2 linked regions of the Xenopus tropicalis genome follow. The protein of the gene in region 2 interacts with the protein of the main gene of each other region in a biochemical or structural test. Links are inferred from orthologs where the notes say so. Each region holds a gene or a part of one and is shown on either strand. Other genes may lie near its edges.

What was found.
Region 1: of the proteins of mcm7 (region 2) and dbf4, one has a biochemical effect on the other in vitro, tested with the Homo sapiens proteins (2 studies listed by BioGRID). The link is inferred for Xenopus tropicalis from reciprocal best matches to the Homo sapiens genes MCM7 and DBF4.

What each region holds. Positions count from the first base shown.
Region 1 is NC_030682.2:29,280,731-29,285,815, reverse strand, and holds part of dbf4 (protein DBF4 homolog A), read left to right. Parts: intron 1-707; 5' UTR 708-771; intron 772-1,266; 5' UTR 1,267-1,292; coding exon 1,293-1,442; intron 1,443-2,183; coding exon 2,184-2,378; intron 2,379-3,214; coding exon 3,215-3,265; intron 3,266-3,701; coding exon 3,702-3,771; intron 3,772-5,085. UniProt on the Homo sapiens protein: Regulatory subunit for CDC7 which activates its kinase activity thereby playing a central role in DNA replication and cell proliferation. Required for progression of S phase.
Region 2 is NC_030679.2:144,217,299-144,222,383, reverse strand, and holds part of mcm7 (DNA replication licensing factor mcm7), read right to left. Parts: coding exon 5,067-5,085; intron 4,701-5,066; coding exon 4,586-4,700; intron 4,216-4,585; coding exon 4,084-4,215; intron 3,657-4,083; coding exon 3,573-3,656; intron 2,512-3,572; coding exon 2,300-2,511; intron 2,207-2,299; coding exon 2,025-2,206; intron 1,935-2,024; coding exon 1,851-1,934; intron 1-1,850. UniProt on the Homo sapiens protein: Acts as a component of the MCM2-7 complex (MCM complex) which is the replicative helicase essential for 'once per cell cycle' DNA replication initiation and elongation in eukaryotic cells.

The DNA.
Region 1 (5,085 bases), on a different chromosome or scaffold from region 2:
TAATGTTGGTAGTCACACAGGTGACAACAGCGTAAATTATAGAGTGAAAGCAGTGGGTTTATACAGCAGTATCACATAACTTATTCCGTATAGAGGGGCAGTGTTAGAAAACACACTATGGGGCACATTTACTAATCCACGAACGTCCGAAAAGCGTCCGAATGCATTTTTTCCGTAATGATCGGTATTTTGCAATTTTTTCGTAAATTGTCGTGACTTTTTCGTAGCGTTACGACTTGCGTGAATTGTCACGACTTTTTCGTAGCTGTCGCGCCGAGTACGAAAGTTTCGGATTCATTCAAGCTTCAGTATCGTGACTTTCCTTGGGCCAGGTTGGAGCTGCAGAGTGCCATTGAGTCCTATGGGAGGCTTCCAAAATCATGCAAAGTCTGAAAGGTTTGCCTGCCGTTTACGAGCGCTCAATACGAAAAAGTCGCGACAATATACGAGCAAATCGTAACGGCTACGAAAAAAATCGCAAAATGTTCGTTTCCAATCTGAATTTTTCCCATTCGGATTCGTGGATTAGTAAATGTGCCCCTATATGTATATTTTTACAATCTGTTATCCTTTGTAATTTTTCCCATTTGCTCATCCACTGTACTTGGCCCGTTATCAGTTTTGCATGGTTTTGTATTGAATGCATACCATTGGGATGACCAATCTTTGCATTTACAAGTTAGTTAACTGATCTTACATTTTCTTAGGTGGTGCTTTCTCCGGAGGACAAAGCAAATGAAGCTAGCAGGGGACCCAAGTTGCAAAGGAACAGTGAGTTGAAATTTTCACCTTTTGTAAATATACATCTTTCCTTTTTAATTTGTGTATTTTGTTAAAGGAACAGTAACACCAAAAAATGAAAGCGTATAAAAGTAATTTAGAATATAATGTACTGCTGCCCTGCCCTGGTACAACTGGTATGTTTGCCTCAGAAATTTATATAAACAAAGCTGCCGTGTAGCCACAGAGGCAGCCATTCAAAAGGGAAAAGGCACATAGCAGATAATAGATAAAACACTGTATTCTACAGAGATTATCTGTTATCGGCTATGTAACCTGTGCCTTTTCCCTGTACTGATGCAGGGCATCAGTACATTATATTTCAATTACTTTAAAAAGCTTTTATTTTTTGGTGTTACTGTTCCTTTAAAGTTCTAAGTTAGGTTATTGGCTCAAGGAAAAGCTTGGCATTTTTTCGATAGAGAAGAAAACAGTTGTCGGAGAATGTTGTAATAATACAGATTGCCTTTTTCTCTTGTTTTGAAGGAGCACCACATGGGCGAGGTGTGAAAATGAAATCCACTGTAGCAACAGTGAAGAATCCAACTGGAAAAGTTCAAGCAGACATATGCAAACCTTTTTCTGGGAAAGTGTTCTATCTTGACCTAACATCCAAATTAATATCTGAAAAACTGGAAAAAGACATAAAAGAACTTGGAGGTGTAAGTCAACTATAAAAAACTTAATGCAACTAGTGTATCTTTTACTTCATTGTAAAAGATTGTATTGTATTACATTTTTATTTATGTATGTCGGTAGGTAGTGATGGCACTCAAAGGGATTTGCACCCAATGTCATCAGGTGAAGAAAAATGAGGTTTATTCAGTCCAACGTTTCTGTTCCTGATTGGAACTTTCATCAGGGACACCAGCACCATGTGTGTTACAAACCTAAGTTGGTGCCAATGTTGTTGCTAGGCAACCAACGTGCAGTAAAAGTTATACAAACATTGCGTTATGCTGATTTTGTGCTGCTTACACACACACCAATTGTGTGCTTTCTATCACAGCTGGATATATTACCATGTTTACTTTCCTTCCCCTTAAAAGCTGTTAAAGTTATAGTTTCTGATTTACTACTACTTGAAAGCAATAGATTTTGTAAAAGTGAACTACTCCTTTAAGGATGTTTTCAGATAAATTTCTGAGTGGCTCATCTGTAGAAGTACTAAATATCTGTTACCCCTGTGCTGCAAGAGAGAATGTTTTGCTAGAAATTAGCATTTGTACTCATTACTTTTTACATTACAAATTCGTAAATGAACCTTCAATTGCCTGCTAATTATAGAAGCCGTTGGCATTAAGCTGTGATATACTGCCTTGTCTGGGAGGTGTGAACAGGTGAAAGGAACTGTTATCTGTTTTAAAATGTCTTAAAATTGTTACCCCTCCATATTTTCTCAGACTGTTGAAGGATTTCTCAGCAAAGAAATCAGCTATCTTATAACAAGTAAAAAGGAAGCAAAATGTGTGAAGACTTTGAAGTATGTTTGTTCTGTACCGAGTCCCGAACCTGCTCAAAACACCGGAGAGAGTTCAACCAGCCCAGGCAATAGGCGATTACCTCAAGAAGGAAATTCAAGTAAAAAAAATGAAAAGGTATCAGGCTAAATTAACTTCTGACTTTAAATTGTGCTCACATAGAAACATTACATTAGTCCAAAGTCCTGTGCAAAATCCTTGATTGTCTATTAACATTGAAAAGTATGTAAATCATGCAAGTTTCTTTGTGTAGAATTGAGTAAGTGTATTCTTATAATGGGGTAGAACATTCTGTAGCTTTCAGTTAGCCCAGTGCTGCCCTGTGTGTACAGTCACTGACAGGAAGGGGGTCAGCCTGCCGCTGTGCACAAGGGGGCAGATTTCACGTAGAAAATGCACATCACAGAACACCGAGCATTTGAAGAAACACATATTTTATCATCTCAAAGATTTGGTCAGATATTTAATTTGCAAATTATTATGCAAATAATACATATCTGACCAAAATTAAATAGACCAAAATATTGCATAATTTGCTAAATATTTGCTTGTTTCATCTGTCCAGAGCTGTAATGTCACATGACCTTTTTTGGGGATGATTTATTAGTTCCCCTATCTTAAAGGAACAGTATCATATTTTTTATTTTTTTTTCGGTTAAAGCTCGGGTGCCCAAACCTGTCAGCAAGTTCTGTTTAAACCATTTAATTACACATCAATGTGTGTGTTTAAATGGAAGTCCATCTATTGCTCCACTGACTTGAGAATTCTTGGTGTCTCAAGAATTCTTGAGTTGCTGTGCTGTAAAAGTCTTTGGAAACTTTGTGCAATGAGAGAAAACATTTGTCAAACTACACATAAGTGCTGTGTTTAGTCAGGAAAAAGCAAAGTTTCTCAGATATTGATTAATATAACATTTATCTGAACTTTTTTTTTTTTTTTATTGTGTAAACAGAGCCTTGTAAGTCGGGGGAAATCTTTAGTGAAAAAGGCGATCAAAGAGCAGGTGAGACTCTTACATTTGCTAATGACTATTTATATTTTCTTGCTTTCCTCAGTCTATTATTTGTTACTAGTAAAATAGCTCATTTACAGATTGTTCAGAGGGGCAGTACGCCCAATGTTATATCTAATTCCATCTTGGCTATGTGTGCAAAAATATCTTTTGTGTGCACATTTTAAAAAATGGTGTGTTCAGGTCAGAATGGATACAGAATGTTGTGTTTTCATACAAATTTCTTTGTGTGCACCACAATTTGCTGTGTGTGCACGAACACACAGCTTAAAGGGAACATTTAGTACACCCCCTGTTTTAAAATTAGCGGGTGATTTGTTCCACGGCATTCTCCTTTTTAATTTAGAAATATTTATGGTGGTTTCTTTTTTTCTTCTATGGTAAACTGCTTTGATATAGTCTGTTCTTCTGGTATCTATTTTCACAGGAAATTCTACCAAAAAATAGTATTTTATCTAATGCCCTCAACTGGGGAGTTAAAATACTTCATGTTGAAGGTAAGACTTTTTTTTTCTTCTTCCCTATTTCTCTTTCTTTTGGATTGATTGCAAACAATGTCTATGAATTGGTAGCTTCATCTTTTTTATTATAAAAACATAGAAAAAATGACCTATAATAAACCTGTGCATAGGCAACATTGTGTGGATTCAAGCTGTATAAAAACCATAGCAGTCTGCGGCATGCTTAGAAATAGCTATGCAGCATGTTGATTTTATTTATCTTTTTACTGGTTTTAATAGCATTATCCAGCAACCCCAATTTATATAAGGTAACATTGCTTTTTATTGGGAAATTTCCTATGCAGTGTTATACGTAAGTATCTGCATATTTGGTTCTTGATTCATTAGAAATATTTTAAAACAACTCTGTTTAAAGTGACACCTTCCAGGTGTGTAACTGCAGTGTGTATGTATATTATATATAATTAGATAAAAATGCCAGCACTCGTGTTACTGGTAAAGAGACTTGCCTGGTTGCAATCCTCATAGAATTTCGATAGAAAGTAGAACATATAGAAGTCTCACAGGATTTATGAAAATACAAAAGACATTTATTGAACAAGAGAAACTGACGTTTCAGCTGTAGAACCAGCCTTTCTCAAAGTTACAAAACCAAGTGCAAATGATCTATAAATACTGTGTGTGGCGGGGAAAAATTAAAAATGTGATGTATAGCAAACATAAACGTTCACATTTAGCACAAAAAACTTGAATCTTTAAAAAAAAAAAAATATCAAACTCGAGCGTTGATAAATCTTCCTTCTAAATAAAGTCAATAGTTAATAACCTTTGCCATAAAGGAATAAGTTCCCAAGCAAATGGCGAGAGATGGATCTGTATATGTAACAAATAATTATATGTTATATATGTTTATTTTTTTTTTTAATTCATAATTTGTGGCAAGACTATATCAAGTGCAAGTCGATTTGTATTTGGGGGCAGGGCAGAATCCTCATAGGATAAGTGTAAAGAGTAGGGATGCACTGTAACCAGGATTTGGTTCAGTATTCGGCCTTTTTTTTGCAGGGTTCGATTTCGGCTGAATCGAATCTGAATCCTAATTAGCATAAATTAGCATATGCTAATTTGCATTTCGAAGGGCTACATTTTTGGGGGGGGGATTTTTTCAGTGTGAGCTGATGTTTAACCCTTCCCGATCCTAATTAGCATTCGGTTTGGTATTCGGCCGTTTGGTGAAAAGTGGGTTTGGTGCATCCCTAGTAAAGAGTCCCTCAGTCTGAAATCTAGATGTCTAGAAGCAGCCCTGTATTGTTCAGTCTTATTTAACAGTATCACCCAACCTACATTTCA
Region 2 (5,085 bases):
CCCGCTGTGTAGCCCCGGGGGCAGCCATTCCTGCACTCGTACAACTGGGGTGTTTGCTACAGAAACCCTACTATAGTTTATATAAATACCCCGCTGTGTACCCCCGGGGGCAGCCATTCCTGCACTGGTATAGCTGGGGTGTTTGCTACAGAAACCCTACTATAGTTTATATAAATACCCCGCTGTGTAGCCCCGGGGGCAGCCGTTCCTGCACTGGTACAGCTGGGGTGGTTGCTACAGAAACCCTACTATAGTTTATATAAATACCCCGCTGTGTAGCCCCGGGGGCAGCCATTCCTGCACTGGTACAGCTGGGGTGTTTGCTACAGAAACCCTACTATAGTTTATATAAATACCCCGCTGTGTAGCCCCGGGGGCAGCCATTCCTGCACCGGTACAGCTGGGGTGTTTGCTACAGAAACCCTACTATAGTTTTAGTGCTGGGCGGTATGACCAAAAATTTATATCACGGTATTTTTCAAAATTATATCGGTATCACGGTATTTGACGGTATTTTTTTTTCCCCATGCATGATTAGGTGACCACCCCAAACACCCGCCACCCGCACCCCCCCACCACCCCAAACACCCCCCCCACCACCCCAAACACCCCCCATCCGCACGCAGCCCCCCCACCCCCCCGCACGTCCCCACCCCACCCCAAACGCCCCCCCATCCGCACGCACCCCCCCACCCCAAACACCCCCCCATCCGCACGCACCCCCCCACCCGCACACACCCCCCAACCCCACCCCAAACACCCCCCCATCCGCACACTCCCCCCAACCCACCCCAAACACCCCCCATCCGCACACACCCCCCCCACCCCCCATCCGCACACCCCCACCCCACCCCAAACAGCCCCCCATCCCCTTCACATAAATATAACCCCCCACCCCACCCCATCACAACCCCCCCAAACACAACCCATCCCCTTCACATAAATAACACCCCCCCATCCCCTTCACATAAAATATAATTACTTGCCAGGCACCCCCACCCCCGACAGCTCACATTGGTATCCGACTCTGAATGCGACGGCGCTTTTGTAGAGTGTGCGCGCTGACGTCACGTGCGCACCCGGAAGTATTCAAGCACACCGGTATGGGGGTATGTAGAAAATACATATCGGTTTAAAAAAAAAACACCGGTGATCGGTTTTTACCGGTATACCGCCCAGCACTATATAGTTTATATAAATACCCCGCTGTGTAGCCCCGGGGGCAGCCATTCCTGCACCGGTACAGCTGGGGTGTTTGCTACAGAAACCCTACTATAGTTTATATAAATACCCCGCTGTGTAGCCCCGGGGGCAGCCATTCCTGCACTGGTACAGCTGGGGTGTTTGCTACAGAAACCCTACTATAGTTTATATAAATACCCCGCTGTGTAGCCCCGGGGGCAGCCATTCCTGCACTGGTACAGCTGGGGTGTTTGCTACAGAAACCCTACTATAGTTTATATAAATACCCCGCTGTGTAGCCCCGGGGGCAGCCATTCCTGCACTGGTACAGCTGGGGTGTTTGCTACAGAAACCCTACTATAGTTTATATAAATACCCCGCTGTGTAGCCCCGGGGGCAGCCATTCCTGCACTGGTACAGCTGGGGTGTTTGCTACAGAAACCCTACTATAGTTTATATAAATACCCCGCTGTGTAGCCCCGGGGGCAGCCATTCCTGCACTGGTACAGCTGGGGTGTTTGCTACAGAAACCCTACTATAGTTTATATAAATACCCCGCTGTGTAGCCCCGGGGGCAGCCATTCCTGCACTGGTACAGCTGGGGTGTTTGCTACAGAAACCCTACTATAGTTTATATTACCGTTACTGTACATACAAGTCGTACTAACCGCATAAGTTTCATATCCAGAGGCTGAAACTGTGATGGCGGCTGCTTGCTGTGCTGATGGACGTATGTAATGTGCTGCGCCAGTCTAAGGGGATAAAGAATAAAGGAGTTAATCCAACAGATACCCTTTAAAGGAAAAGTTAAATGTTCTCATGTTACTTTTACGAGCCCTCACCTGAGATCGTTGTCCCTGTCCGGCTTGTCTTGGATCAGCCAGAGTAGGTCGAATCGGGACAGTAAGGCAGCAGGGAGCTGGATATTCTGCTCCACTGTCTTCTTTGGGTTGTACCTCCCGTAGGCAGGGTTAGCAGCAGCAAGAATAGAGCAGCGAGCATTTAGAGTGGTCATTATGCCAGCCTGGGGGGGGATTAAAGATATGTATTTTAATGCTATAATGTGTGGGAACTTTAGTCAAGACAAAATGGCAGTCAGTTTTAACTATCCACCGACCTTGGCTATGGAGATAGTCTGCTGCTCCATGACTTCATGAATGGCTGTTCTGTCCGTGTCCATCATCTTATCAAACTCATCAATGCAGCAAACCCCCTGATCCGCCAGTACCAAAGCTCCGCCTTCCAGTGTCATCTCGCCAGTCACTGGGTCTTTCATTACCGCTGCGGTGAGACCCACCCCGGAGGAGCCGCGACCTGTTGTGTACTGACCTGATGAAGTCAAAGCAGGGCGATTTGTAGAGGCGAGGCAGGCAATATATGACCGACAGCTCAGCTTAATTACAATTAACTCTCTCTTTAGCACTTCCCAGATATCACTCAGATGATAGAAAAAGGATTTTGAATTATTATTACTTAGGGTGACAGGTCCCCTTTAAGCTCTGCTGGTCTCATATAAACAGTAGCTTACCCTTTTGTGGCAGTTGAGACATCTGTGTAATTATAGAAAGTCTTCAGCTTTCCACTAGACAAGTTGGTCAATAGTCTTAGTATTAATGTTTGTATATATAGTTTATGCATGTGAGTGGATAGATAGGTCAGTGTGGGTCTGTATGTGAGTGGATAGGTCAGTATGGGTCTGTATGTGAGTGGATAGGTCAGTGTGGGTCTGTATGTGAGTATATAGATAGGTCAGTGTGGGTCTGTATGTGAGTATATAGATAGGTCAGTGTGGGTCTGTATGTGAGTGGATAGGTCAGTGTGGGTCTGTAAGTGAGTGGATAGGTCAGTGTGGGTCTGTATGTGAGTGGATAGATAGGTCAGTGTGGGTCTGTATGTGAGTGGATAGATAGGTCAGTGTGGGTCTGTATGTGAGTGGATAGATAGGTCAGTGTGGGTCTGTATGGGAGTGGATAGGTCAGTGTGGGTCTGTATGGGAGTGGATAGGTCAGTGTGGGTCTGTATGGGAGTGGATAGGTCAGTGTGGGTCTGTATGTGAGTGGATAGATAGGTCAGTGTGGGTCTGTATGTGAGTGGATAGATAGGTCAGTGTGGGTCTGTATGTGAGTATATAGATAGGTCAGTATGGGTCTGTATGTGAGTGGATAGATAGGCAAGTATAGGTTGTGTGTGCTGGGTTTACTTGGAAGGGTTGAACTTGATGGACTCTGGTCTTTTTTCAACCCTATGTAACTATGTCTTTGTTACAGAACAGACTAAGAGAAAAGAAATGCTGTTTACAAATAGCAGCTAAGCCTGAATCAAGGTACATAACTTCTACACTAGTCCTCCGTTACTCCAAACGGATTCCGACGACAGATCTGAACACTTACTCCGAGGTGCTAGACGATCAATATAAGAAAGCAGCTGTGATTTTGCAACTCCTGGGTCACCCATCAGGCAGATGTTAATGTTCCCTAGGGGGGAAATAAACATACACAGGTCAGTTTACCTGAAATGAACGGCTTCTATATTTTATATGAACTCAAACTAGGGGAAGGCTTAAGGTCCCCATACAGGGGCCGACAGCAGCTGCAGATATGGGTCCCTTAGACAGATTCGGCAGCTAAACGGCCCGTGTATGGGCACTACCGACGGGCCTGCCCGACCGATATCTGGCCTGAAATCGGGCAGATTCGAAAATCTAGTTGGATCAGCTTTTCCTATTCCCGACGTTATAATTCGATCATTTGGCCCCAGGGCCAAACAACCGAATTACCCTGGATTCTCCCGATATCACCCACCCGTAGATGGGGGATATCGGGAGAAGATCTGCTCGCTTGGCGACATGGCCAAACGAGCAGATCTTATGGTGTATGGGGACCTTTAGTCAATGATGCATACCTCTTATCTTCATGCCACGGGGAGAATTGTCAACTCCTCCCACTAAGAGCAGAAGTAGAGCCTTCTTCACATCCTCGTGCCCATAAATCTCAGGCGCAATGGAGGCTGCCAGCTTCTCATAGAAATCTTCCTCTGGTGTTACAATAAAAAAAGTCAATTAGGAATAAGGACTAAATACAAGATCTTCCTATAAGCAGCATAGAGCAAACAAAGCAGCAACTAATACAGTAGCTGTCAGTCTGGACCCCAGTTGATTTTTATTAAGTCAAAAGTGGGTCATACAGAGACAGTCTATAGCAGGACTCTGTCCGGTCGCGATGGACCAGACCGACGCATTCACACAGCACTTCCGCATCCCCAGCTTGATCGAGGTCCAACAGAAATCTGGGGGGGGGGGGGGGATCGACTGGTGGACCGCAAATGACGTATTGCCCACCCCTGGTCTATAGTCTATAACCTAGAGAAGTCAGTTCTTCCATACAGGGACTCCTCATCTGCTTACCAGTAATCTGTCGCAGCTCCTCTTCACTCAGCTCTTCTGTTCCGAGTTCATCATCCTCGGTCTTGTTCATTTTCACCAAACGGTGAGATTCGAGGTACGTCTCTGAAAGGAGCCCCTGTAGGAAAAACCACACAAATCACCAGTGAACCCCAAAATTATACAGTTATAACTCAAAAACCATTACAAGTTTGTAAGGAATGTATATTGCTTAGAATTAAGTTTTTTTTATAAGGCAAAAAAATATATTCTGGGTTGACTTGTCCTTCAAACAAATGCTTAGGTAGCCGCGGCCGGGCACTCCCCACAGTACAAAATTGATCATAAAATAGGAATATTATATAGGAATTGCTGTTCTTGTTTACATTTACTCACACAGAAACCTGTACATAAAACCCGCTAAAGGGTAATCCCACCTCACAGCAATATAAGGAAGCTGCTGAGCTAGAATGATGAATTGTAATAACTGTAAATTGTTTATTACCTGTACCACCTGACGGAAG